7 linked regions of the Oryctolagus cuniculus genome follow. The protein of the gene in region 4 purifies or fractionates together with the protein of the main gene of each other region. This does not show direct contact. Links are inferred from orthologs where the notes say so. Each region holds a gene or a part of one and is shown on either strand. Other genes may lie near its edges. The genes, in order: CDC26, ANAPC7, ANAPC16, ANAPC2, NEK2, ANAPC4 and ANAPC13.

Region 1 (4,215 bases), about 21 Mb from region 4:
GTCCTTTCGAATGCTCTCAAACTCTTCAATGTCATCAAGCTTGAGCTCCAAGCGCGTGGGTTTCCGTCGCAGCATACTGAAATCTACACTGAGAGCAGATCCAATCAACTATGAGCTATTAAAAATGACACAGAGAAAAACTGGAGGTGATACGTTGCAGTTACATACATAAGGCCAATTTCTACACATGTACACTAAAGTGAAGGCAATAGCAAAATCAAACTTGGATTCACACATAGATCTCTTTCTTTTTTTGAAAGGCAGAGTGACAAAGAGATGGAGAGGCACAGAGAGACAGAGATCTCTCATCCACCATAGTTCACTACTCCCATGGCCACAGTGTCTCTGGATGAGCCGGGCCAAAGCCAGGAGTCAGGAGTTCCATTGTTGTTTCCCAAGTGGGTGGCAGGGGTTCACACACACCGGCCATTATCTGGTGCTTTCCCAGGCACATTAGAAGGGAGCTGGACTGGAAGCAGAGCAGCCAAGACTCTGATATGGGATGCCATATTGCAAGATGTGGTTTACCTTCCGTGCCACAATGCCAGCCCCACACATAGATTTCTTAAGGCTTTAGGTGTATGCTTCTTACATTTGTATTTCATGATGGAGATCCACAACGCGGTGATTCAAAAACCTCTTTCTGAAAAAACTGAACACCAGCAAGCTGCCTATAAGAAAATTCTAGGCAAAACTGAACTCACCAATTCACAAGATTCTCTTCAGTGTCTCAATCAACCAGACAGATCATTCATTAGCAAAGACTTCTTGTGCTCCGGCTACAAAATTAAAAGGTACAGACACAACCTGTGGGAGAAACAGACACGTGAGGGGAAAATTAACAGCGAGGGGAGCAAGAACACTGATGAGAATACAATGGCAGCCATGCTGGCCCGAAAGCTGGACTAGGTGTGGGGTGGTGGCCAGGGATGTTAAACACGGCCTATGGCAGGAAATGATGTCTAAATGGAGTCTTAGTCGACATCTAAAGAGCAGGCAGAGAGAACAAGTGCACAAAGAAGCTCAAGAGAACAGTCTGAGTCAAGACAATACTTTTAACAAAAACCCTTTCTTTGAGCAAACAGAACTCCCCATCACGTTTAGTATCTGTTGAGGGGCACCTTCATGGCACCCAACAGAGTCTGTGTATGTACATTAGGCAGTCAGTAAACGTTCCCTGAATATAGGAAACAACTAAAGTAAAATGAACTTGAGTGAGCACTGGGCTAATTTTTCCATCACCATTCTTCACTTGCTTATTTTAATACGAAAACCCTGTGAGGCTGGCAAGATCGTCCTATTTTACAGAGAAAGAAGTCAAAGCAAGCTGTCCAGTCTGGCCTCCTGTAGGAGTCACACATAGGACCGTGGGGTGAGGATTAAATGAGACTGATGTAAATGAACGCCACTGGCTGTACCCAGGATGAAACCGGGGACTGAGAAGTGCATAAAAGAAGAAACATTTCCTCCTCCTCCCATGAAGCCTGAGACAGACACGCAGTGGTAACACAAAACATTACTTTTTTTTTTTTTTTTTTTTTTTTTTGCGGCTCACTAGGCTAATCCTCCACCTTGCGGCACCGGCACACCGGGTTCTAGTCCCGGTCGGGGCGCCGGATTCTGTCCCGGTTGCCCCTCTTCCAGGACAAAACATTACATTTCAATTTGCTTTGACTTAAATCTGATACTGTCCACCAGATTCCAATGCCGACAAGCAGCAGAGGAAAACGAAGTTCCAAATGGGGTGAGGAAGGGATACTGAGAAGATCGCTATGCATTTTAACTTTTCTGCGAAAACGAAAAGCCCACCACCACCACTAGGAAGCAGGGTAGAGACCCGGCTGAAGTGCTGGCTCCGATCCCTTTAAGTTTCCGATCTTTGTCTCGCACCAGACCTTCCTTGCCTCTATACTCTGTTGCTGTCTGAATTGAATGGCGTAATGCCGATTAAGCTCCTGGCTACACAACTGTGGTATTCAGTAAACGCTCAATAAATAACAGGCACTTATGACTGCAGTTGTTGGGGGCGGGGGGCGGAAGAGATAACGATGGGGGAGGGGGGTGTTCCAGCTCTGCAAACACGAACATTTTGAGTCTCCCACCCACTACATGCCTTGTTCATCGCTGATGCCCCCGCACCCAGAGGAGCACAGGGCTATGCAGGAGAGTCGGCTGCGGTCTACCCGACGCCTTCCTAGCCATCATCTCACTCAGTCTGACACAAAGACCCGGCTGAAGACGAAACAAAAGCAACAGCAAAACCGGGCCGAAGCTTCGCCCGCTCTTTACTTCACTTAGACGCTAGAGGGCTCTTTGAGCTTCATCTCTCACCGCTGCCCAAATCCACCGCAAACTGAGCCAGCTCGGCCGGAGCCCCCGGCCCCGGGAGGACTTTCCTCCCCACCCCCACCCCGACAACCCTCCTCGCCCAGCCCCAGGACCACACTCAGCGGTCCGGGCGATGGTTTCCATGGCAACATGGGCCTCCGCCCCGGGACGACGTAAAGTCTCTAGGAGCCCTCGGTAAGCTCCAGAGTTCAGCGCCCGGCCGCGCGACTTGACTCACCTTCCTCTCTCTCCAAGCCCGCTCAGCCCCTTCCCGGAAGGAACCTCAGCTCCCACCACGAATCTACTGCGAGCCCAACTGGACTACACTTCCCAGAGTGCTTCGCGCCCCTCTCCCCTCCAGAACCTCGTCTCCCGCGAGCTTTTCTCGGAGGTTCTAAGGGTCATGCCCCTCCACGCGACCAGAATAGTAACTACTACGACTCCCATGATGCTCCGCGCCGCTCAGGGCGCTGCGTCGGCGCCCGACTTCACTTCCGGTCCGTGACGTAGTTCCGCTTTGCTGGGCGCGCGGTGGATGGTCTGAAACGGAGAGCTTGGCTTTTTCTGGGGCTTGGCTGCTGCGGAGCCCAGCATGGCTTCGTCACGAGCGTCCTCCACGGTACGGAGCTCGGGATCTCAGTTCACTGCGGCAGGGAGCGCCGAGAGGGTGGGGGTCCCTCGGGGAAGGGTCCGTTAGGGAGCGGGCTGACAGGGTGGAGGGCTGCCGGACTCGGTCCTGCCCTCCAGAGCAGAGCAGCATTCCCCGGACCCTTGAGCGAGTGTATGTGCTGTTACTCGTATGCACCTGTCCCACCGCAGCCCCGAACGGCAAACACCACTTCCGACTGGTCCAAACCAGGGCTCCGGAGTGGGCGAGTGTCTTGGCCACGGTGGCTGTCTATAGGAGACCTCGGAATTGGGATGAGGCCTCCCGGCTCCTGCTCTGCTACCACAGGTCTCAAAACGCTTGAGATGGACCGAGCAGGAGCGTTGTCACTGGCTACCCCTCCCTCGGCACCACGCCGGTTCTTTTACCTTACCCTTGGTGTTTCCCCCCGTGTTAAACGGTAACCCTGGAAGTATCACGAAACCCAAAAAGAGCTTGCACTTCCAACAGAATGAAGTGATCGTCTTCCAGAGGCAGAACCACCCGGAGAACCGGGTTTAATCCACCTCTTCAAGCTGTCAAACTGGAAGTGATTGAAGGGCTGACGTGCCCTCCCGCCCCCATCCCCACACCCGCGGGTCCGTGAAGCGCATCTTCCCTGGCGCCCAGTTTGGCCTTTTGTTGGGGGAGGTCAGGATGAACTTCACCCTTTAGGGAAGCCTCGTGGATTGCTAAGATCGAGCCTTGAATTAATCGAAGCCTTCGGTCTAGCAGGCCACCAAAACGAAAGCGCCTGATGACCTGGTGGCTCCGGTGGTGAAGAAGCCACACATTTATTATGGAAGTCTGGAAGAGAAGGAAAGGGAGCGGCTGGCCAAAGGAGAATCTGGGATTTTGGGAAAAGAAGGACTTAAAGCAGGAATTGAAGCAGGAAATATTAATATAACCTCCGGTAAGATGACAGATTTCAGTCCATCTTTACCTTTACCTCCAGTTTTCTGTAATGCGTGCCTTCCTCAGCTTAGATAGCTGTAGTTTTATGTTACAAGTTTTCAATTTTTAAACTTGAATCTATAGACTCATATTTTGCTTACACTACCTAGCATCATCCAGGAGCCTTTTTTTTTTTTTTACAGAATTTTTTTTTTTTTTTTTTTTTGGACAGCCAGAGTGGACAGTGAGAGAGAGAGACAGAGAGAAAGGTCTTCCTTTGCCGTTGGTTCACCCTCCAATGGCCGCTGCGGCCAGCGCACCACGCTGATCTGAAGGCAGGAGCCAGG
Region 2 (3,039 bases), on a different chromosome or scaffold from region 4:
ATCAGATGTTCTGAGCTGCACTTTGTATATTTAGGGTATTATCTTACACAACTTTCATTTCACATTTTGCAGCACCTGACAATCTGGGGGAGCTCCACCTCCCCTCTCTTCACCACCATTAACTGCAGACTCGAGGCAGCACAGCCTCGGCACCAGCGGGGAGCTGGGTGAACAGTCTCCCAGCACCCGAGTCCAGTGTGACACCGCAGGCTCCCCCGTGAGGATGCTGAGGCCAGACACGGACCTCAGGCTCCAAAGCGCCAGGCCAACTGTCTGAAGCCTGGCCAAAGCCTCCCAGGCCCCAGGGAGATTCACCAAGCGAGACTGCAAATGCATGGCCCAGTTCAGGGTGACCTGAGGTCTCTCCTGTTCCCAACAGCAGGGAAAGAGAGAGAGAGAGTCTATTTATGGCAAATAATTCTGGGGCTGAACCAATGCTTTCTGAATGAGACCAAAATAAGAGTCTATTAAAGGCTTCCATTCCGACCACCCCAACACACGACTGTACAAACCACTTTTATTAGGCAACTGCCGAGGCGCACCCCTGTCATGCTCTCACCATACCTGTTTCTCATGCCCAGGCTCAGAGGCAAGGTACCAGCTTAGCAAACAGGAAAACTGCTCTGCACAACAGCGACTGTCAGCTTAAGGCATTACTAACTTGCAGAAGGAAGCGGGTTACTGGGGAAGCTTGGACAGCCCAGGATGACTTTCTCGGAACAGGAGCCCTTGTGGCAAGGGCCAGGCTGTGTTGCCATCCTTGGGAGGCGGGTTACTCCTCCAAGCCCACTCACGTCAGACAAGCAGTCTACTCCTTGAGCTCTGGATGTGGTTAGTTATACCCGAAGCACTCCCTGCCCAGGAGCCCCGCAAGTGTGTGGGCGCCAGGGCTTCGCAGTCCTCCCTGCTGGAGACGGGAGGGTGGGCATCCTGGCAGGCTGGCCAGGCTCAGCGTTAGAATCAAGTCCCGACTAGAACTCAGGAGCAGGGGCAGGCCCCTCCTGGGAGCACTCGCTGCGTCACTGTCCCGAGAGCAGCTCCCACGGCGCCTGGGGTCCAGGGAAGCGCTCCGAGCAGGTGGCGCGCGGAGCTGCCCTCACTGCATGCCGAACCACTGCTCCTGGTCAGCCCACTGGGCCGCCTCACTGTCGCTGCCCTCCAGGTCCCCTTCTTCCCCACTCCCTTCCATGTCGTCCACATCCTCCTCCTGAGTGGCATCCGTGGGACTCTCCTCCTTCTCCATCTTCTGCATCCCCTCTAGAGACTTCTGGTCATTGGGGTCCAAACTAGGGGACAACAAAACAAAGGAGAGGCCTGAATCTCTGCCTTGCTTCTTGCTGGTGATCTGTCATGTCCCTGGCCCGGCAGTGAAATGACCACACAGTCAGAGAAACTGCTAACGCCTGGCCTCTCCAAACAACGCCAGCTTCCAAGGCTCATCGAGGAAGTCCACCACCAGACGTGAGAAGAGGCGTCTTTTCCTGATTTCTAGAATTCTCAAACTGAGTTTTTCTTCAGAAATTTTTTAAACCTTCTCATATTTATTACCCCTAGCACTCTGCTACAGGCAGCTACCAGATAACACAAATGAAAAAGTAGCAAGCAAACATCAACAGAAAAATTAAAATGTAATTTCTTGAAAGGAATTTAGGTTTTGAGCTATAGGGCTACAAAATAGTTACTTTTCTGTGAGCAGAACATGTAATTAAACCGTCAGCACTTCAGTAGGCAACACAAACATGCTATACCATGGAACACTGTCGATGCCTAGGTTAGACCCCAGGACCAAGGTTACCCCCGCTGGGCATTCAGACTGAGCTCCATGTGCCCAGCTCCCCAGTTCAGTGCCCCAGAGCATCACTGATCCGATTCCCAGGAAACCCGTCCTCCTGCCTTGGTGACAATCACCCAAGCCAGCGGACGTCCCATCCCTGGGAAATCGTCCAGTGGAGGCTTGGAATGTGACTTTTTCACTTGATTCCGGGCTTCCAAAAGGCAGTTAAAACCCATGTTGGAATCCTATTCATGCATAGTCAACACGGACTAAAACCTGTCGTGTCACCTCAGTCCTCAACGGCTGAGAACTGCTGCAGTTCCCGCCCTCTGACGCCCACCTGCCCTTCTACAGATGCTATGAAAGCACACAGCACACTGGCGTCATCGGTCTGCTCGGCTGAGACGAACACCGAGGACATGCGGCATCCCCAGGGGCCACTGAGATGCCAGGCACACGAGCGCCGTTCAACTGTGTGCTGAGCAAGTGAACGGATGTGACCAGAACCTTCCAGACACACAGACAACCCTCAAAGAAAGCACTTCTGTGTTAAGCAGTAGAATACCACTATTTATTTAGTATTCACTATGTACCAGGCACAGTGCTAAGAGCTTTACATGGAATATCACTTAATCCTCAACCACTGAATGTAGACAGGAAGTCTGTTAGTAGCTTGCCAGGATGACAGAGGTGAAGGCAGTACCCAAACTTCAGACCCATGTTTTTCACTACTACAGTAGAGAGAAACATGGGAAGGTACAGTATTGTGACTTGAAAAAGCAGAGTATAAAATATATACTAGGTGTAACTGTAAACATATGCATGTGTGTGGGTAAGGACAGGAAGATGATCTGTACAAATGAACATGGATGGCAAAGTGGTGTGGACTGGTTATGAGGGAGACAATTCTTTACTGTTACTATACTTGATGAAAAGATTTTTAAAAGTCATGAATTCACAAATGGCTCTGGGATTCACCATTACTGTTACGATTCTGCTTCCAACCATGAGCATGAAGTGTGTGTGTGTTTCAGAACTCCTGTAACCACAGTTCACGCCTCCTCTGCCCTCCTCATGGACCTTCCCCCACGGGAGGCTAAGTGCCTACCTTAGTGCTATACTATACTGGTCCATTGCCTCCTGATACTCATTGACAGCTACAAGGAAATCTCCTAGGATCCGATGCAGGACACAGTCACTCTGATTAGCCAGTGCGTTTCTGAGTAACGCAATTCCATCTTCATATTTCTGTTCTCTGCCTGCAA
Region 3 (3,500 bases), on a different chromosome or scaffold from region 4:
GGCAGTACATGAGGCTGTGACTGCTGTATGAGGCAGTGTAGAAATAGAACATTAGAGCGTTTAACATCACAGCAGAACCTTCCCTGAGACCGCATGGTACTAGACCATTTTTCTACTAAGTATACCCTTCAGAATCTTTCGTTAGGGCCACACAAGCTTTATCCTAGTAAACAGAGTGTGCCTGTTTTGAACTTTTGTAAAAAGTCGTGTCTTCAGTATAGATTTTCTCATTTACATTTGAATTTTTGATATGACAGGGACTAAACACGAGCAGCTGCTGTATTCCTAGCAGGTCAGGATTTCCAGCATCCTTGTCTGAGCTGTTTTGTTCCAGTTTTGGGATGCCACCAAGTGATAAGTTTCGGTACTACATTTGGGTGGAAAGGTTAAAAAAATGTTTAATGAAAGGGCCAATACGTATTTCCTAACCAATTTTCCCTTCCTTGGGAACAGAACACAGTGTTATTCTGAAATTTTATGTGGAAAATTTTATAAGTGAATTTCTTGGTGTGGTTTGGTCAGAGTGTGTCCAAGACAAACTGTCCTATGGAGGATGGTGGTTTAATTTCCACAGTCAGATTTGTGCTTGGCCCTGCCATGGCTCCCCTTCATAACTCGTAAATCACCCACAGTCAGTCTCAAGTGACACACAGTTTGCTGGTCACAGGAAGTAGTCTTTTCAGTAGACAGACTTCTTAAACATACTTTGGCTTCAAAACGAAAAGATTGTGGGAGTTGAAAAGGTAGAAGACAGGGGAACCTGTTCTGTACAAAACTGTATGCTGGCCCTTGCGGTGGAATGAAATGTTGTTGATTGCGCTTCCATTGCTGTTTTTCTTGTCTGTAGTGAAGTGAGCCTTCGCCTGGAGAGGAAATGGCTGCCTCGTCGTCGTCCTCCTCGGCTGGTGGGGTCAGTGGGAGTTCTGTCACTGGATCTGGTTTCAGTGTGTCAGACCTCGCCCCACCACGGAAAGCCCTTTTCACCTACCCCAAAGGAGCTGGAGAGATGTTAGAAGGTGATCTCATGCTGCTTTTTGCTGAATAATTTGCCTTAGACCTGCAGTGAATATTAATTGTAAAGAAGCTTTTAAATGGATTTGAGATCAGTTTGTCCTGATTTCAGCTCTACGTTTCATCTCTTGTTCCCATCTCAAAATAGTATCTTTAAAAACAAATCTTGCTCCATAGTCACAATTTAGGAGCTGAAAAAAAGACTTTGGAAATCAAGGAGGTCATCCAGAGTTATTTAGATCCAGAAGAGTTAAGTTATTTGACCACGTTAAAGGAAGCCGGCACTAGAACCAGCAATTCTTTTAGCTTCCTTCTCCAGTTTGCCTTATCTTTGCACCCATCTACCTCTTCTTGGTGGGAGGTTCATGGTATTTTTTCCTACTATAATTAATCTACAGAAAGAGCATCCCATCAGAGAGGGTCTAAGAGAAAATAATAGCTATCACCCTGCTCTTTAACAAGGAGATGACCCTTCTGGCCCCCTGAAGGCCCCAGAGCCAGGTGTACATGCAGTCATCCACCATCCTGTTGAGCACACAGACTGGCTGGCCAAGATCCAGTATGGGCTGTAAGCATAAAGCCATGTTGGTAGCTGCAGTTCATCAGATTCATGTCAATATTAGGAGCTTGACTAATAGCATCAAAAATCACTTGAAGAGCTTTTTTTAAAATACACATTTATAGACAGGCTTTTGGCCTAGAGGTTAATGATACCTGCATCCCATAGCAGAGTACCTGGGTTCGAGGCTCAGCTTCACTCCCAGTTCCACCTTTCTGCTATGGTGTACTTTGAAGGTAGCACATGATAGCATAAGTATTTGGGTTGCCACCACTCGTGAAGGAGAGCTAGATTGAGTTCCCAGCTCTCAGCTTCAGCCCCTTTCCAGTACTGGCCATTGTGGTCATTTAGGGAGTGAACCAGTGAATGCAAGTGCTCTCACAAATCAAAAATAATAGTAACATATTTCTGGGCCTTGTGTATAGATTCTTAGCATAGCACAAGAATCCTCATTTTGACCAATGTCCAGGACCCTCTCATAAGGATAGTCTTCTCATTTTTTTTCTTTTTTTAAGTATTATTTATTTGGAAGGCAGCATTACAGAGAGAGAGAAAGACAGATCCAGATCTTACATCCACTGGTGGCAGTGATCTTACTGCCAAGGTGGCCACAACTGCCGGAACAGGGCCATGGTGAAGCCAGAAGCCTGGAGTTCCATCGAGGTCTGTCATTTGTGTGGCAGGGCCCAAGCACGTGGGCTGTCTTTCACTGCCTTCCCAGACACATTAGCATGGGGCTGGATCAGAAGTGGAGCAGCCAGGACTCCAATCAGTGCTCATATGGGATGCCAGCATCACAGGCAGCTGCTTCACCTCTTGTACCACAGTGCCAGCCCCTTATCATATTCTGAAAAACATTGACAAAGAACATCTGGACACCAGTTGGAATCCCGGCTGCTCCACTTCTGATCCAGCTCAGACTGGCACAGTCCCGGCTATTGCAGCCATTTGTGGAGTGAGCCAATGAATGCAAAATCTGTCTGTGTCCATCTCTCCCTCTCTCTAACATTGCCTTCCAAATAAATAAATCTTTTTTTTTACATTCTTTTTTTTATTTTATTTTATTTTATTTTTTTGACAGGCAGAGTGGACAGTGAGAGAGAGAGACAGAGAGAAAGGTCTTCCTTTTGCCGTTGGTTCACTCTCCAATGGCTGGCACGCTGCGGCCGGCGCACCGCGCTGATCCGATGGCAGGAGCCAGGTGCTTCTCCTGGTCTCCCATGGGGTATAGGGCCCAAGCACTTGGGCCATCCTCCACTGCACTCCCTGGCCACAGCAGAGAGCTGGCTTGCAAGAGGGGCAACCGGGACAGAATCCGGTGTCCCGACTGGGACTAGAATCCGGTGTGCCGGTGCCGCAAGGCGGAGGATTAGCCTAGTGAGCTGCGGCGCCGGCCAAATAAATAAATCTTTTTAAGAAAATCTACTTGATGCTAGTTTTGAAACTTATTTATATATTTACCTTTTTGCCTGAAATACTACAAATTTACATAAATATATAATTTATTTATTTATTTGAGAGGTAGAGTTAAAGACAGTGAGAGGGAGAGACAGAAAGGTCTTCCATCTGTTGGTTTACTCCCCATTTGGCCACAACGGCCATAGCTGCGCCAGTCTGAAGCTAGGAGCCAGATGCTTCTTCCTGGTCTCTTATGTGGGTGCAGGGGCCCAAGGACTTGGGCCACCTTCTGCTGCTTTCCCAGGCCACAGCAGAGAGCTGGACTGGAAGAGGAGCAGCCAGGACAGAATCCAGCGCCCCAACCGGGACTAGAACCCGATGTGCTGGCGCTGCAGGCAAAGGATTAGCCAAGTGAGCTGCGATGCGGGCTGCATCAGTAACTTAAAGCTACTTATACTTAAAGACAGACTATGGAAAATAATGCAGAGATTGCAACCTCTGAACTCTCCTAAGTCAAACCAAGAATATTAAA
Region 4 (4,231 bases):
GGGACATACGGCCAGGGCACACACGCGCAGGGCCCCACGGGGGACACAGCCAGGACACACGAGCAGGGCCCCACGGGGGACACACAGCCAGGGCACATGAGCAGGGCCCCACGGGGACACGGCCAGGGCACACGAGCAGGGCCCCACGGGGGACACACGGCCAGGGCCCGTGAGCAGGGCCCCACGGGGGACACACACCCAGGGGACACACGGCCAGGGCCCCACGAGGGACACACGGCCAGGGCACACACGAGCAGGGCCCCACGGGGACACGGCCAGGGGCACACGAGCAGGGCCCCACGGGGGACACACAGCCAGGGCACATGAGCAGGGCCCCACGGGAGACACAGCCAGGACACACGAGCAGGGCCCCACGGGGGGCTGCAGGACAAGGCACTGACACGGCTCTGACCCTGCCCGCAGCCTCTGTGTCAGGTGGACGCTGGCCCTCCAGGTGGCCGGGGCGGCAGGCGTGGCCATGGGGGAACCCCGCTGCCCTCCTGGGAAGGGTTCTGCGGAACCGGCCGCAGGCTGCCCCGGCTGCAGACTGGCCTCCAGCGGCTCTCGGGAGAGCGAGAGGGCTCCAGTCCCTGCCCGGGGGTGGACCCAGCAGAGGCCCAGCAGAGCCCTGCCGGCACCTGGACCGGTCCCGCCGTCCCCTAAGAGCCCTCTCCCACACAGCCGCGCGCCGCCTCTGTCCGGTGTGACCAATCACCTCTGCGGGCCGCGGGCAGTGCGACCGCTAGGGGGCAACAGCAGGGCCAGACTCCAGCCGCCGCGGCCCAGCCCCCCCGGAGCACCGGAGAGGACACCTGCTGCCCCCTGCTGGCCGGGAGCAAAGCGCCAGCAAGCCCGCTCGCGCCGGCGCCTCCGGCAGGGCTAGGAGTGCGCGCCTGCGCTGCAGCCCGAGCCGCCGTCCACAAGGCCAGCACCCCGCGCCCCGCCGCCGGATCGGGTCCCACAAGGCCAGCACCCCGCGCCCCGGCGCCGGATCGGGTCCCACAAGGCCAGCACCCCGCGCCCCGCCGCCAGATCGGGTCCCACAAGGCCAGCACCCCGCGCCCCGGCGCCGGATCGGGTCCCACAAGGCCAGCACCCCGCGCCCCGCCGCCAGATCGGGTCCCACAAGGCCAGCACCCCGCGCCCCGGCGCCGGATCGGGTCCCACAAGGCCAGCACCCCGCGCCCCGGCGCCGGATCGGGTCCCACAAGGCCAGCACCCCGCGCCCCGCCGCCGGATCGGGTCCCACAAGGCCAGCACCCCGCGCCCCGCCGCCGGATCGGGTCCCACAAGGCCAGCACCCCGCGCCCCGCCGCCGGATCGGGTCCCGGCCGCTCCACTTCCGACCCAGCTCCCTGCTAAGCTGCCTGGGAAAGCAGCAGCAGACGGGCCAAGCACCCGGGCCCCCGCACGCGCGTGGGAGGCCCGGATGCAGCTCCTGGCTCCAGCCTGGCCCAGCCCTGGCCATTCTGGTCACTTCGGGAGGGAGCCGGACAGCAGAAGGCCTCTCTCTCTCTGCCTCTCAGATACATAAACCCTGAGAAGGCAGCAAACCCGAGCCTCCCGCGGCCTCAGCACAGGGACCTCGGAGCCCTGGGCTAGGCGTGCGGGCAGGCAGACCTGCGTGCGGCTTGCCGCGAGGGCCAGCAGGGCGCGGGGTACTCACAGGACCTGGCTGAGCTGCTGGAACTGCTCCAGCGCCTGGCGGCACCAGCAGCGCTGCTTGTCGCCGCCGCAGCCCGCGCACAGCGGGCTCTGCAGGAGCCGGTAGTACCGCCGGCGGGCGTAGCGGCTGTCCAGCTCGCCCTCCAGCTCGGGGTCCGTGCCCCCCTCTCCCTTCCTCTTGCTCTGCATGTAGACCCGCAGGAAGCGCCCGTAGAGACGCTGCACCATCTCCTGGAAGCTTCTGGGCGTGGAGAAGAACAGGACGCCCCGCAGCATGGTGTGCACCCTCTCGCGCAGCCCCTGCGCGCCGGGGCCCAGCAGCAGCCCCAGGCGCGTCCACTTCTCCAGGAGCTCCAGGCTGCGCAGGTAGGGGTCCAGGCGGCTCTCCAGCAGGCCGAAGGCGTCGAGGAGCAGCAGGAGACACTGGGGCTCGTCGGCCGCGTTCTCGCGCTGCGAGAGCGCGTTCCAGAACTCGGGGGCGATGTGGGCCTGCAGGTCGTTCTGCAGCACCTCCACGAACCACTCCTCCAGGACCGAGTGCAGCCCGTGGCCCCTCAGCACCTCCACGGCGGCGCGCAGCTCCTCCTCCTTGGGCGGCACCGCGCCGCTGGTCCGCGAGGACGCCTGCGGGGCAGGAGCCGCTGAGCGGAGGGGCGAGGGCCGAGGGCCGAGGGGCGAGGGCCGAGGGGCGAGGGCCGAGGGCCGAGGCGGGCGCCGACGGAGCCAGCAGAGGCTGGCGACCAGCGGACGCCCCGCGCGGGCCCGCCACCCCGCTCCCGGGCCTCACCAGTCCCAGCGCCGCCGGCGGCACCAGCCCGGTGCTCACGGTATTCCAGGCCACCAACAGATCCTGCCCAGGCCCAGGGCCGCCATCCCCCTGCACCCCCGCCGCCTCCATCTTCGCCCACTCGCTCTCAGAGACCCCACCCCCACCCCGGCGGTGCGGCGTCCGGAGATGACGCGGGCTGGGCGCGGCGCGCTGAGATGGCGTAGGCTGGGCGCGGCGCGCAGCCGTGACGCGCAGGCGGGGCGCGCGGTAGTGACGCGTCGACCGGCGCGCCGTCGGGGAGAGTGCGCAGGCGCAGACGGGGGCGGCGCGGCGGTTGGGGCGGCGGGGCGTCCGAGCGCTAACCATGACCCAGCAGGGCGCGGCGCTGCAGACCTACAACAACGAGCTGGTCAAGTGTGAGCGGCGGGCCTGTCGGGGAGGCCGTGGGGGCCGCAGGGCCCGGCTCCGGGGACTGTCGGTGCGAGGCGAGGCTCCCGTAGCGTGGACGCCTCGGGCCGGCCTTCCCCGGGGCGTTGTGTGGCTCAGGCGGGTGCACGCGGCCCGGCCCTGCCCGCGCCCAGGGCTGGGGACCGAGGGCCCCGGGGCGGGACCGTGGCCTTGCGCGGGCGGCGGGCGGCCTCCGGCCCCGGCCCGCGGCGCTGACCTCGGGCCCGCCGCAGGCATGGAGGAGCTGTGTCAGAAGCGGGAGGAGCTGTGCCAGCAGATCCAGCAGGAGGAGGAGGAGAAGCAGCGGCTGCAGGTCGAGGTGCGGCAGCTGACCGAGCGGCTGGCCCGCGTCAACGAGAACCTGGCCTGCAAGATCGCCTCCCGCAACGAGTTCGACCGGACCATCGCGGAGACGGAGGCCGCCTACCTCAAGGTGGGGCTCGGCAGGTGGCCGGGCTGCCCTGGGCTTGTCCCCCGCGGCTCCTCCCAGGGCTGGCAGAGCCAAGCCCGCCTGGCTCTGCAGCCTGGGGAGGAAGGGGTGGGTGGGTCCCCCCCCCCCCCCCCCCCCGGGTCGGGCAGTGAGTCTCGCCCCGTCGGCGCAGATCCTGGAGAGCTCGCAGACCCTGCTCAGCGTCCTGAAGAGGGAGACCGGGAACCTGAGCAAGGCCACCATGGCCACGGAGCAGAAGGGCGGCGGGGGCAAGGACAGCTGACGGGCGGGGCCGCCCCCAGCCCCCCTGAAGCAGCTGCACCGCACTGTGGCCCCGGGTGACCAGAAGCCGCCCAGACAGCCACCGGCGAGGGTCCTGGCCTCCCGCGCACCCAGGCCCTGGGGTGTTGGACTCCAGGTGGGCTCTGCGGCCCCCACACCCCTGGCACTGGCCTCTGCTCGGCCGTGGTGGCCAGGCCGGCGGGGCGGGGGCGGGGCCTAGCGCCCTGACCTGCCAATAAAGGTTGTATTTGTACAGAGCCCACCAGCCCGTGCCTGTGCCGCGTCAACCGTGGGGCTGCGCGCACCCCTGGAGCCGGTCCCCGCCCAGCCGCTGTGGCCCCTGGGGAAGGAGAGCCGAGGGTGCCCGCCCCACCCCAGGAGCGTGGACGGGGCTCTGCTCCTCTGTGCCCGCGTGGTGCATCCGTCCACGGAGGCACCCGTCCCGCTCAGCAGGGCTGGGGCTCCATCCCCTTGCCTGCTCCCGTTCAGGTCTGGGCCTAGCGGGTAAAGCAGCCGCCTGCAGTGCCGCTGCCCCACTCCCCAGCCAGCCCCTGCTGCCGAGGCCTGGGAAGGCCGTGGGAGATGCCCAGTCCTCGGCCCTGCACGTGTGCGGGAGACCTGGAGGAAGCGCCTGGCTC
Region 5 (4,255 bases), on a different chromosome or scaffold from region 4:
CTCTCTGCTGTGGCCAGTGAGCGCAGTGGAGGATGGCCCAACTACTTGGGCCCTGCACCCCATGGGAGACCAGGATAAGTACCTGGCTCCTGCCATCGGATCAGTGCGGTGCGCCGGCCGCAGCGGCCATTGGAGGGTGAACCAACGGCAAAGGAAGACCTTTCTCTCTGTCTCTCTCTCTCTCACTGTCCACTCTGCCTGTCAAAAAAAAAAAAAAAAAGTTCCATAAAAGCTCGAGTTGAACTACTAACCTACAGGAACTTAATGGTCAGGTGGCTCATCGGGAAAAATGTAAACTTCAAAATAAATAACATTATTAATTTTGGGCTATTAGATATTACTAAACAAACAAACCAACAGACTGAATGTCCTTGCGTTTGGACATTTAGCATTCAGATGGTCAAAAAGTCACAAAATTCAGGGGTACTCACAGGAGACATGTAATAAGGTGTCCCAACAAAGGTCTTTGCAAAACTCGTATCGTGGTTTAATATCCTCGCTAGCCCAAAGTCTCCAAGCTTGACGTTTTGCTTGCCATCCAGGAAAACGTTGGCTGGTTTCAGGTCCCGATGCAGCACAGTGTGGCCGCCGTCACTTCGCCGGTGACACTCTTTTAGGGCCAGCGTCAACTGAGTCATCACTCGAAGAACAAAGTCTTCATCTAAGTACTGTCTGAAAGCAAAGCAGTTACACAGCATGGAATTCTGGGATCGTTACAAGGATGGGACGGGATGCAGTGGATTATCTGGCTTTTAATGTGGACGAATGGGGCACGATGTTATATTTTTTAAAGATTTATTGCATAGTGGGTTAAAGCCCCAGCCTGCAGTGCCGGCACCCCACATGGACGTCAGTTCAAATCCTGGCTGCTCCTCTTCCAATCCAGCTTTCTGCTATGGCCTGGGAAGGCAGTGGAAGATGGTCCAAGCCCTTGGGGCTCCGTACCTGTGTGGGAAACCTGGAAAAAACTCCTGGATCCTGGCTTCAGATCAGCTCAGCTCTGGCTGTTGCAGTCATTTGGGGAGTGAACCAGCAGAATGGAAGACCTCTCTCTGGCTCTACCACTTTCTGCAACTCCGTCTTTCAAATAAAGTAATTCTTAAAAAAAAATTTATTTTATTTGAAAGGCAGAGTTACAGAGAGAGAGGAGACAGAGAGAGGTCTTCCATTCCACTGGTTCACTCCCCAAATGGCTACAACAGCCAGGGCTGCGCCAGGCTGAAGCCAGGAGCCAGGAGCTTCCTCCAGGTCTCCCATGTGGGTGTAGAGGCCCAAGGACTTGTGCCATCCTCCTCTTCTTTCCCAGGCACATTAGCAAGGAGCTGGGATCAGAAGTGGAGCAGCAGCCAGGACTCCAACCAGTACCCATATGGGAGGCCGGTAGCGCGGGCGGCGGCTTATCCCATCATGCCACACACTGGCCCCGGGGAAAATGTTATTTTGATGTGAAACCTGGGTGTTGAGCCATGCCAGGAATTTCCTAAAATACCATGGACTCACAAAATACAAGAAGTCTTCCACTATCACAAGATGCTTAACAGAAACGCGAGCAGGCCCACGTCAGCTGCCAGTTCCAGATTACCTCTCCTTGGTTCCCTTGGCAATCACGCTCGCCAGGTCCCCTCCTTCGCAGTACTCCATCACGATGTACAGAGTCGTGTTGGTTCGGTCGATGATGCGGTCATAGTAGCGCACGATGTTCGGATGCTTCAGCTCGCGAAGCAGATTCACTTCAGATACAAGCATCTGCTTCTCAGCCTCTGTCATGGAGCCATAGTCAAGTTCTTTCCAAACTAATATCTGGAACCAGAATGGCCAAGGTCTGAATAAACTTCCCATTCTTTCAAAAAGAATTAAAGCGCCAACATGTGAAGAACTCACCTCCCTTTAAAATATAGCCTACAAAAGCCAAGGTCATTATCATCTAATTTAGTGCAATAAAGGTAGAGTCCTGTGTTGCCATCCTCAACCTTTCTCCAGCTTTTGAGCAGTGAAAGATGCTTTGCAGGTTGGGGGTCGGGGGGAGAGAAGGGGGTGCACTAGGCCTCCCACCTCGCCCCTATGAGCTGTCCGTGGGAGGATGGCAAAGCCCCTGAGCATTGCGACTGGTCACGCTTTCCCAGGGCTCAGCAGCGGGCAGTTTCCCCGGCAACGTCTCCTTCTGTACAAGATCCACCTACACACATCGGGAAACGCCCACCCCCAAATCCGGAGAATTGCTATTATTTAAATGATATGTAAATGTCAGGTTCCCTTGGTCCCAAGAGGGTCAATCTTCTCCACAAACAGCTCAGGGGTCAGCTGCCTGTCACCAAAGGGAAGCCCTTGGCAGGTCAAAGCAGGAGAAAGGGAGGAAAGGGGAGAAGAGGGGACACGATGGGAAAAAAATTATATATATATTTTTCAAAGGACGAAGTCTCCCGCCCCGCAGGACAAGCTGTCAGCGCACGCCTGGAGAGAGGGCTGAACCTTCCCGGCGCCCAACAGCCTCGGGCCCCGCGGATCCCCGGGGCGGCCCCGGGCGGACGAAACCTCCGCCGGGGCGGGGACAGGGAAGGGCCCGCGCTCACCTTGCCGTCGCTCTTCCTCCGGACCTTCTGGCAGCGGCCATAGGAGCCCGTGCCAATGGTGTACAGCACTTCGTAGTCCTCCACCCGGGACGGCATGGCCGAGCCCGTCGCCGGACTCGCGCTCCCCCCGGCAGGTCGCGCCGCGGCCACAGAGCTGAGGCCAGCACCCCGGAGAACCCCCCCAGGCTGCCCCGACCCGCTCCCCGGCCTTCGGCCCGGTTTAACCGTCGCGGGCCCGGATCTCGCAATCTATTGGTGGACGCCGAGGTCTCTTCGTCCCTCTGATTGGCTGAGACGATCACAACACCCTAGGCATCCTGGGAAAAGTGTGTCGCTAGGCAACCGCGTCGGCTTCGCCTTCAGCGTGGACTTCCTTCTAGGGGAGGAGGGGGCGGAGCTAAACCAAAGGAAGGGCTAGGGAAAGAAAACGCGGAAGGCAGGTGGGTCTTAGCAACAATATCCCTCCGGTTGAGATCGCCTAGGTAACCGAGGTTCGGGACCTTTCCAGAGACCCTCAACCAACTGCCTTCTGACCTTTGCACTCTGACCCCTCGCGACTCCTCTGGTACCCTGAATCTGGGCGGGGCCGCGCTGGAGACTGAGTACAAAGGGGAACCGAGCTGTTCTCGGAAGGAGTCACAGCTTCCGCTGCGGCAGGACCGCCCGAAGTCCCCGCGTGGCGTCCACAGCGCCCTGGGGAGCGGGAATTCGCATCCCTGCTGTTTCCCAAGCCCGGGAGGCGGAAACCCCTTGCTTCAGGCCCAACAGCCGAGATCAGACCCATCAGCACAAAAACAGTGGCTGCTCCTGGTGTTGACTTCGGCCTCGCGCGTGGCCTGGTGGAGGGACGAGCAGCGTGCAGGCCTGTTCCACACGCAGACGTGCACAAACCTGGGGGAGAGGTCGGAAGTCCCTGATGCGTGGGGGGAGCCATGCATATAGTGGCTCTGAGGCAGGCGCAGCTTCCTACCAAAAATTATTTTAAAATTATTTTTAAAAATTATTTTAAAAGAAGCTACTAAATAGGTTTTCTGGGTTCCAGTATTAAGTATTCTCAACTGAGAATACTTAATGAGCCACGGTAGGGCACCCGCAGAAGTGAGCATTCTCAGCTCTCCCAGCCCAGTGAAACTGTCCCAGAGTCCCAGCGAGGGCTGGGTCGGGGAGCATTGAAGCCAATGCGTGGCAGTGTGTAAGCAGGTCAAGATTCTTTAGATATCTGTTCAGTATGGTGTGGAAAGGAGCTTATGGTAGGTGAGCAATAAATATTTGCTGATACGCTTTGCCTAGGAGCTGCTCTCCAGGCTCCTGGGATGCCTGCATCACAAATCAGTGTCCCAGGTGGAGTCCCTGCTACTCTGTTTCTGTTCCCACCCAGGTGGGAGACGCAGAGGGAGTTCCTGGCCCCTGGTTTCAGCTTGGCCCAGCCCTAGCTCTTGTGGGCATTTGGGGAGTGAACATGTGGATGGAAGATCTGTCTCTCTCTCTCTCTCTCTCTCTATCTCTCTCTCATTGTCACCCTGCCTTTCAAACAAATAAAAATAAAAAAGCTTAAAAATAAAATTGGAGAAAGCTGTTTATTAAGAACTATGCAAGGATTTGGAGGGAGCCTCAGATACTCGGTTTTCCAATGCCCTTTGCTCTATGGCGGAGACAAAATATTTGGGAAGGAGTCATTCCAGGAG
Region 6 (2,869 bases), on a different chromosome or scaffold from region 4:
ATGTCTGAGTTTTGCAAATACCATATCCAGGGGCTGGCGCTGTGGCGTAGTGGTTAAAGCCGTCGTTTGCAATGCCAGCATCCCATATGGGTGCCAGTTCTAGTCCCAGTTGCTCTACTTCTGATCCATCTCTCGGCTATGGCCTGGAAAAGCAGAAGATGGCTCAAGCCCTTGGGCCCCTGCTCCTGCATGGGAGACCCAGAAGCCCCTGGCTTCTGGCTTTGGATCAGCGCAGCTCCAGCCAACGTGGCCATCTGGGGAGTGAACCAGCAAATGGAAGATTCTCTCTCTCTCTCTGCCTCTCTAGTAAATCTTTTTAAAAAAATACCATATCTATCAACATTTCCAGTGGTGAATGATTATGAAAATGTGATTTCCTGATAGAGGAATAAATTTTGCTATCTTTTGGCAGAAAAGATTAAACTTTGTCTTCCCCTTCAATCAGTTCTTTCCTTAAATATTAGGTCTGCACACAGTGCCCGTATCACTGAGCAGGAGAATATGAGAAAGTACATACTGTTTATTTCTTTGTTACACAAAGAAAATTCACCGTGGTCCAAGCCCTGCTCCTCCGCCCACACCAGCAGCGGGGCCGCTACGCGTCCAGCTCGGGGTCCAGCTCTTCCACTTTGATGACGACGTCGGGAGCCAGCGCGGCGGCGCCAGCCTGCTGGCTCTCGGCCTCGGCCTCAGACAGCACCTCCTCCTTTATCCTCACAGGCTTGCTGCCCGCCTCCTCCTCGTCGTCCGAAGACTCATCCAGCTCCCACTCGTCATCGATGTCCATTTCAAACACTCTCACGTGGCGCAGGTTCGAGCTTAACTAAAAGGAAAGGGCCGGAGAAAGAATTTCTAATGAATGGCTCAGAAATGCCTCCCACGTAAGGAAGCAGAGATCTGGAGCTGGAGGGGCGGGATTTGGTGCAGCAGTTCAGATGCTGTTTGTGGGGACCGGAGTGGTGCAGCAAGTAAAGCCGCTACCCGCAACGCTGCATCCCATGTGACATGGGGGCTGGATCAAGTCCCGGCTGCTCACTCCCGATCCAGCTGCCTGCTAACGCACCTAAGAAAACAACAGAAAATGGCCCAGGTGCTTGGGCCCCTGCACCCATGTGGGAGACCAGGATGGAGTTCCAGGCTCCTGGCTTCGGCCTAGCCCAGCCCCAGCCGTTCTGGCCACTTGGGAAGTGAACCAGCAGATGGAAGATCTCTATTTCTCTCTCTGTGTTGCTCTGCCTTTCAAATAAATAAATAGACAAATGTTAAAAAAAAAAAAAAAAAAAAAAAAAAAAGGTGCTATTTGGGACACACGTATCCCATAGCAGGGTGCCTGGGTTCAAGTCTCAGTTCTGATGCAGACTCTGCTAATATGAACGCTGGAGCCAGGAACGCCACCTGGTCTCCCGTGCGGGTGCAGGGGCACAAGTCCCTCCACTGCCTTCCAGGCATGGCAGCAGAAAGCGGAACGGCAGGCAGAGGTGCCTGGACTGGACCGGGCACTCCAACAAGGATGCCAGCGTTGTGAGGTGGCTTAGCCTGTGACAGCCCAGTACCTATCCTGCATTCTTTTTTTTTTTTTTTTTTTTTTAAGATTGTATTTGTTTATTTGAGAGGTAGAGTTACAACAGTGAGAGGGAGAGACAGAGAGAGAGGTCATCCTTCCATTGGTTCACTCCCCAGATGGCCACAACGGCCAGAGGCAAGCTGAGCTGCAGCCAGGAGCCAGGGGCTTCTTCCAGGTCTCCTATGCAGGTGCAGGGGCCCAAGCACTTGGATCATCTTCTACTGCCTTCCCAGGCCACAGCAGAGAGCTGGATCGGAAGAGGAGCAGCTGGGACTAGAACCGGCGCCCATCTGGGATGCTGGCACTGCAGGCGGAGGGGTAACCTAGTGCACCACGGCGCCAGCCCCGTGTCCTTCATTCTTGTTAGTTTGTGTTTATCTACTTGAAAGGCAGAGGAACAGGGAGGGAGATGGACTTCCCATCTGCTGACTCACTTCCCAGACACCTGGGCTGGGCCAGGACAAAGCCCAGGACACAGCTCAGTCCAGCTCGCCCACATGTGTGGCGGCGACCCAACCCCTGAGCCAGCACCTGCTGCCTCCCAGGAGGCACCAGCTGGATTGGAAGCACGGGTCGGGGACTGGCCCTTTGACACGGGATGCAGGCATCCGAGTACCAGCTCAAACCACTGCACCACAGAGCCCGACCATCGGCCTTATTCTGTAGAGAGGAATCGCCACATCCAACAGCGGGAATTTCACGAGCTTATTAAAAATCCAGAAGCATTAACTACTTTCTCCGTGAGCTTTCTCAGAATAGGAGAACTCAACAGCCAAGGTCGCTACACGGCCCACATCAGTAAAGCTGAGTCATGGTCTCCCCCGAAGGGGCTGTGTGCCGCGTCAGAGCGATGGCCCTCCTGCCGCTGCTCTTGGTGAAGACGTGCGGACACTCACCACGCAGGACACTTTCCGGAAACCATTCCCAGCGACGTACTGTGCTTTCATGCTTTCCAGTAACCGCCAGTGCTTCTCGAAATGCACGGTGCGCGTGGGGATGACGCCGCACTGCTCGTCCAGCCTGCGGGGAAACACCGAGCCCGGTCACCATCAGGGTCAAGTCCCGATCCAACTTCTCCCATCACCCCACTCCCAACACGATCCTAGCAGTCACTGTACAGGAAAGTGTGATGGGACATGCTATAAAAATCCTGCAATTCCAAAGTTGGACAGATCATCTCAGTAAGGTTTTCTGATTCCCTGTCAAGGAAAAGCAAGTAGGTACATTTTTACATCAGTTAAGGGAACTGGGTACCAAAAAACCTGTCAACCAAAGTCATCACTTAGAATTGGTTACGAGGCCGGC
Region 7 (4,254 bases), on a different chromosome or scaffold from region 4:
TGTAACAATTTTACAGCTGCACTGTTCAAACAGTAACCACGGGAGGAGCTGCAGCTGTACCAAGCACTATGCAATGCAGAACTGGACTGTGTGCTCTGCCATGTTAATCAGCGTACCCGCTGCAGCTGGCTAGGCGGAGGTGCAATTCCAGGGGACCCAAGCACACCTCGGGAGGCAAACAGGTCAGTGTAGAACAGCAGAAAGAGGCCAGAGAGCCGTTTGCAGGTAGGATTTAAAAGGTCTATCAGTCAAGCACACAGGGAGATCTCGGGGTGAGACCTGGGATCAACTACACACAGGGATGGGGCAGCTGAAGAAACCCGAGCCCCGCGGAGGCCCACAGTAGGGAATTCTGATCTCCACAGGTGTGAGAGTTCTGTGGCTTTGTGCAACTGCAGAAACCAACCTAGCTCTTGGGGGCGGAGGGGAGGGCTAACATAAACCAGAAATTCAATGCCTGCAACTTTGAGGTCCATGTTGCTTTTTGCAAGCCGACAGCGTGCGTGCGGAGCAGGAAGGTAGCCGTGAGAGTGGCCCACACAGAGGAGCGCGGGGACTAATCGACCTAAACAACCCTTAGAAGCGAGTTTATGAACTTGACTCGCACGGGCTGCAGAGGGCAGTGTCTAGGTGGTTACACATCTCTAGCCCATTCCAGTTTCAGGGCCTTGCTAACTAGCAAGGAGCTCAGCAGGAAAACCAAGGGCACCGCCTTCCGAGCAAGCGAACACAGACTCGATCACCAAGCTACATCCGTTAAAGATTCAGTATGCAGCCCGTGTCGCTCCTGGTTTCCTCTTCGTAAACTCAAACTACACGGGGAGCAAAACTGTGCAAACGCGGGGCGTCTGAAGCCGACATCGGGGGTCCGACCCTGGGCTCGGGGGAAGCTGCTTCGTGCAGCCCTAAACGAACAGGAGCTTCCGCCACTGTCCCAGGGCCGCCAGGGCACCGCAGATCCAGCCCCAGGAGCCTGGTCGTGTAGGGCGTTACTGAGCAACCGCTCCAAGCCATTTCCTTCTATGTGAATATGAACGTCGAGGGCGGCCTGCCTCCTCCAACCCCGCCGACGCCACCCTGCAGCCTCCCCGCGCAGGGAGCACTCCACGCAGCGGCGCCCGAGCCCGCGACCCCCCTCCGGCCGGCCTGCGGGCCACGGCTGACCTCCCCGCAGGGCCGCACGCCACCGCGGACTGGGCCACGGCCGCCTTCGCGGGGCCACAAGGCGTGGGCGGGCAGGCCGAGGGGCGCCCCTGGTGGCCGGCGGGCTGCTGCAGAAGCCAGTCCCGGGCCATGCGGCCGCGCGGCTGGGGGCACCAGGTTGGCCAGGGCCTCCGGACCAGGACACGCCCGCCCCTCGCAGGGGCCTAGGTCCCCACTGGCGGTTACCCAGCGGCCGCCGCGAGCGCGCCCGTGGCCTTCCCGTCGTTACCTCGGGACGGGCCCGCGCACGCGCGGCGCCGCCGATCTTACGTCCTCCCTCTGCCGCCGACACGTTCGTTCCGCCCACTGCCGCCTCACCCCCCCCCCAACCCGGACCGCCCCTCCGCGCGCATAAATGGGCTCACCCACATCCGGGGATCTGGGAGACGGGCGAACGGGTCACGTGGTGCCGGGGTGTGGCCGGGAGGAAGCGCTGCTGCTTTGGGCCGGGTGCTGGTAAGAGTTTCCTGCGTTCGTGGCGCGGGTCTTGGTGTGACGGGGTCGAGTGCAGCGGCCGCGGCCGATGCCTTCACCTCACCCTTGGAGTGTGGCGGGCTGGAAGGCCCTGACGTGGCGGCCCCAGACCTCCCCCTCCTGGTTTCCCCAGTTGGTAGCGCCCGCCTCGGGCCGGAAGCCGTGGTTGTGGGTTGGCCTTCCCGGTACGGTGGCCTGCGAGGGTCATTTGTAGCGCCACAGAAAAGCTGGGGTGGTGTTTTGTCTTTGATCGTGTAAATGCTTAGTCACAAAGCTTTGGGAGACAGAGATGGACAAGACGTGCCCCTGTCGCAGGGAAGGCACGCACTGTCTGTCTCCCTTGTTGGCGCCAGGCACGGCGCCCCCAGGACAAGTAGGGCTGGTTGGCACACTGGTCAGCGGTGGCCCTCTGGCCGGTGCGGAGAGTGGTGTGACGGGAATTTGTTGATCAGGGCCGGGGTTCCCGTGAGGCATGCAGAACGGAGCCTAGCCTTGCTGTAGAGGTGGTGATTTAATCCTGAGTCCTGGGTCTGGGGTCCGGGTCCGGGGCGGGGGGCAACCTAGCCCGGACACCATTCCCTGCATGCAGTGGGTTCACCTGAAGTCGCCAGACTGCAGGCCAGCGGGGAAGGCGAGGTCTGATGCAGAGGCGCTAGGGGCAGGATTTCAGAGCGGGAGAGTGGGACTGGGCGGGCGGTGTTTGCGGACAGGTGGAAGAGACCTGCTGGGGGATCCTGGTGCAGGATTTGCACCTGCAGCCAGACAGGCGTGCCCGAGCCGCGGGCCGCAGAGCTGAGCTCGCTTGTGTCTGGATGAGTCAGGACCGAGGTCTCCGGAAGCTTTTATAGGAGGGGGCTCTGCGAGGGCCTGGGAAAACCAGCAAAGGGGACAGACTGCACCGCATATAACTGCACCTGAGCCTCAGGAGCCCTGAAGACAGGCTCCTTCAACGAGTCGCCGCGTGGTCCTGGGCCAGCCTTGGGGCCCCACGCGGCTTGCTGGTAGCGGAAGGAGCGCCTTTGCCGCAGTTCTGCCCGTTCACCGAGGTTAGAAACCTCTCCGCACCCCGACGCGGGTAGAATTACGGTCCAGGGGTTAGGAGCCGTCTTGCTGTTAGGAGAGCAGAGGCCCGTGGATGGAGTGGGATCCCGCCGCCCGCCGAGGTTTTCTGTGTGCGCCTCCGCAGTGTCAGATGCCGGGAGGGCCTGAGGGCGCCTTTGGTCCAGTGGAGTGCGGGCCGTTGGGATTAACGTGGAGGAACGCTAGCGATGAGGGAACCTGCCAGCCAGGCCTCTGCATGAGGTTGCAGCTGCTCAGGGGACAATGAGGCTGGCAGGAGGCATCTGTGCACTGAGTGCAGCTGGGAGTGGGGAGATACCATGGTCCCTGAGAGGGGGGAGGGAGACACCATCGTCACTGAAGGGCGGGGGGGAGATACCGTGGTTACTGAGGGGGGTATACCATGGTCCCTGAGAGGGGGCAGGGAGACACCATCCTCACTGAAGAGCATGGGGAGAGGGGATGGGAGGGGAGATACCATGGTCCTTGAGAAGGGGGAGTGGGGAGATACCATGGTCGCTGAGGGGGGCGGGATGGAGATACCCTGGTCTCAGAGTGGGGGAGCAGCCTGGGATGCCCCAGTTGCTCACCTGGAGGTGCCCCTCTCGGAGCTCGGCCGGGCCACTGTTTTAGGAAGGAAGCAAGCTTTCCGACGCTCTCGCCGTCCCTGGCCTGAGGCCTTGCGGCAGGCCTGTCCTGGCCACGTCCTAAGGTGTGAGCTGAGCGCGTGCAGTGCGCTCCTGTGCTGAGGTTTGAATCGGGGCAGGTGCAGACGGATGGATGAGTCTGTCCAGAGGCGCTCACTGCACAGCGTTTGTCGGCTGACCGGGCGCAGGAACTCTGGTTTTTAAGTTGTCACTTGACCGCCTGGAAGAGGACCTCTTCCTGCCTTCACGGGAGGCTCGGGAATGCCTGGGCAGTGCTGGTGCTAAGTCCACATCTTTCCTGCCGTCCCGTTTCAGAAGGAACCCCTTGGCGTCCGGCTCCGCCGAGATCAAAGCCACGGGAACATGGACAGTGAGGTGCAGCGGGATGGAAGGATCTTGGATCTCATCGACGACGCTTGGCGGGAAGACAAGCTGCCTTACGAGGATGTGGCGATACCGCTGGTAGGTGGCGATGGGGCCCGGGACCGTGGCTGGAGGCAGGGTGTCCAGGGGCTGTACCAGGAGGGCAGAGAAGTCGGAGCCGCGGGGGCGTATGAGCGTCTCAGCCCCACAGAGCAGTGTGGTTCAGAAAGCGGAGGTAACCAGCACGGCCAGGGGTCTTGCCAGGGCTGCGGCGCCACCCTCCGGAGCCGTGTTCTGGCTGCCACAGCACAGCCGGAGGGAGACCGGACAATGAAGTGTGCCGGACAGACAGGAGCAGCCGCATGGAAGCTAACCGGGGCCCCTGCTTCCCTCGGCCCTGTCAGCTGCCGACGTTTCCAGAACACGCACCTGTCCTGCGTTCCCTGGGAAATACTCGTAAGGTGCCTGGCTTGTCTTCATAGTGACTGGGCCAGCGGGCTTCGAGGGC

The links.
Region 1: the proteins of ANAPC2 (region 4) and CDC26 purify together in Homo sapiens (co-immunoprecipitation; 7 studies listed by BioGRID and IntAct, with this or other methods). This does not show direct contact. The link is inferred for Oryctolagus cuniculus from reciprocal best matches to the Homo sapiens genes ANAPC2 and CDC26.
Region 2: the proteins of ANAPC2 (region 4) and ANAPC7 fractionate together in Homo sapiens (co-fractionation; 6 studies listed by BioGRID and IntAct, with this or other methods). This does not show direct contact. The link is inferred for Oryctolagus cuniculus from reciprocal best matches to the Homo sapiens genes ANAPC2 and ANAPC7.
Region 3: the proteins of ANAPC2 (region 4) and ANAPC16 purify together in Homo sapiens (co-immunoprecipitation; 5 studies listed by BioGRID and IntAct, with this or other methods). This does not show direct contact. The link is inferred for Oryctolagus cuniculus from reciprocal best matches to the Homo sapiens genes ANAPC2 and ANAPC16.
Region 5: the proteins of ANAPC2 (region 4) and NEK2 purify together in Homo sapiens (affinity purification with mass spectrometry; 4 studies listed by BioGRID and IntAct, with this or other methods). This does not show direct contact. The link is inferred for Oryctolagus cuniculus from reciprocal best matches to the Homo sapiens genes ANAPC2 and NEK2.
Region 6: the proteins of ANAPC2 (region 4) and ANAPC4 purify together in Homo sapiens (affinity purification with western blotting; 12 studies listed by BioGRID and IntAct, with this or other methods). This does not show direct contact. The link is inferred for Oryctolagus cuniculus from reciprocal best matches to the Homo sapiens genes ANAPC2 and ANAPC4.
Region 7: the proteins of ANAPC2 (region 4) and ANAPC13 purify together in Homo sapiens (affinity purification with mass spectrometry; 3 studies listed by BioGRID and IntAct, counting the BioPlex papers as one, with this or other methods). This does not show direct contact. The link is inferred for Oryctolagus cuniculus from reciprocal best matches to the Homo sapiens genes ANAPC2 and ANAPC13.

The regions. Positions count from the first base shown.
Region 1 is NC_091432.1:216,878,127-216,882,341, forward strand, and holds the start of CDC26 (anaphase-promoting complex subunit CDC26), read right to left. Parts: upstream 2,801-4,215; 5' UTR 2,567-2,800; exon of another isoform or gene 2,114-2,566; intron 808-2,113; 5' UTR 705-807; intron 116-704; 5' UTR 76-115; coding exon 1-75. UniProt on the Homo sapiens protein: Component of the anaphase promoting complex/cyclosome (APC/C), a cell cycle-regulated E3 ubiquitin ligase that controls progression through mitosis and the G1 phase of the cell cycle.
Region 2 is NC_091452.1:8,056,513-8,059,551, forward strand, and holds the end of ANAPC7 (anaphase-promoting complex subunit 7), read right to left. Parts: intron 3,034-3,039; coding exon 2,883-3,033; intron 1,287-2,882; coding exon 1,097-1,286; 3' UTR 501-1,096; downstream 1-500. UniProt on the Homo sapiens protein: Component of the anaphase promoting complex/cyclosome (APC/C), a cell cycle-regulated E3 ubiquitin ligase that controls progression through mitosis and the G1 phase of the cell cycle.
Region 3 is NC_091446.1:63,342,950-63,346,449, forward strand, and holds part of ANAPC16 (anaphase-promoting complex subunit 16), read left to right. Parts: intron 1-847; 5' UTR 848-874; coding exon 875-1,016; intron 1,017-3,500. UniProt on the Homo sapiens protein: Component of the anaphase promoting complex/cyclosome (APC/C), a cell cycle-regulated E3 ubiquitin ligase that controls progression through mitosis and the G1 phase of the cell cycle.
Region 4 is NC_091432.1:237,481,196-237,485,426, forward strand, and holds the start of ANAPC2 (anaphase-promoting complex subunit 2), read right to left. Parts: upstream 2,801-4,231; coding exon 2,453-2,800; intron 2,290-2,452; coding exon 1,667-2,289; intron 1-1,666. Other genes in the region: microtubule nucleation factor SSNA1, read left to right, coding at 2,799-2,850, 3,115-3,314, 3,484-3,594. UniProt on the Homo sapiens protein: Together with the RING-H2 protein ANAPC11, constitutes the catalytic component of the anaphase promoting complex/cyclosome (APC/C), a cell cycle-regulated E3 ubiquitin ligase that controls progression through mitosis and the G1 phase of the cell cycle.
Region 5 is NC_091444.1:26,251,891-26,256,145, forward strand, and holds the start of NEK2 (serine/threonine-protein kinase Nek2), read right to left. Parts: upstream 2,801-4,255; 5' UTR 2,667-2,800; coding exon 2,571-2,666; intron 1,801-2,570; coding exon 1,583-1,800; intron 673-1,582; coding exon 432-672; intron 1-431. UniProt on the Homo sapiens protein: Protein kinase which is involved in the control of centrosome separation and bipolar spindle formation in mitotic cells and chromatin condensation in meiotic cells.
Region 6 is NC_091433.1:20,527,616-20,530,484, reverse strand, and holds the end of ANAPC4 (anaphase-promoting complex subunit 4), read right to left. Parts: intron 2,585-2,869; coding exon 2,461-2,584; intron 824-2,460; coding exon 596-823; 3' UTR 501-595; downstream 1-500. UniProt on the Homo sapiens protein: Component of the anaphase promoting complex/cyclosome (APC/C), a cell cycle-regulated E3 ubiquitin ligase that controls progression through mitosis and the G1 phase of the cell cycle.
Region 7 is NC_091435.1:146,958,724-146,962,977, forward strand, and holds the start of ANAPC13 (anaphase-promoting complex subunit 13), read left to right. Parts: upstream 1-1,454; 5' UTR 1,455-1,659; exon of another isoform or gene 1,660-1,700; intron 1,701-1,838; exon of another isoform or gene 1,839-2,723; intron 2,724-3,698; 5' UTR 3,699-3,746; coding exon 3,747-3,845; intron 3,846-4,254. Other genes in the region: CEP63 (centrosomal protein of 63 kDa), read right to left, coding at 1,165-1,295. UniProt on the Homo sapiens protein: Component of the anaphase promoting complex/cyclosome (APC/C), a cell cycle-regulated E3 ubiquitin ligase that controls progression through mitosis and the G1 phase of the cell cycle.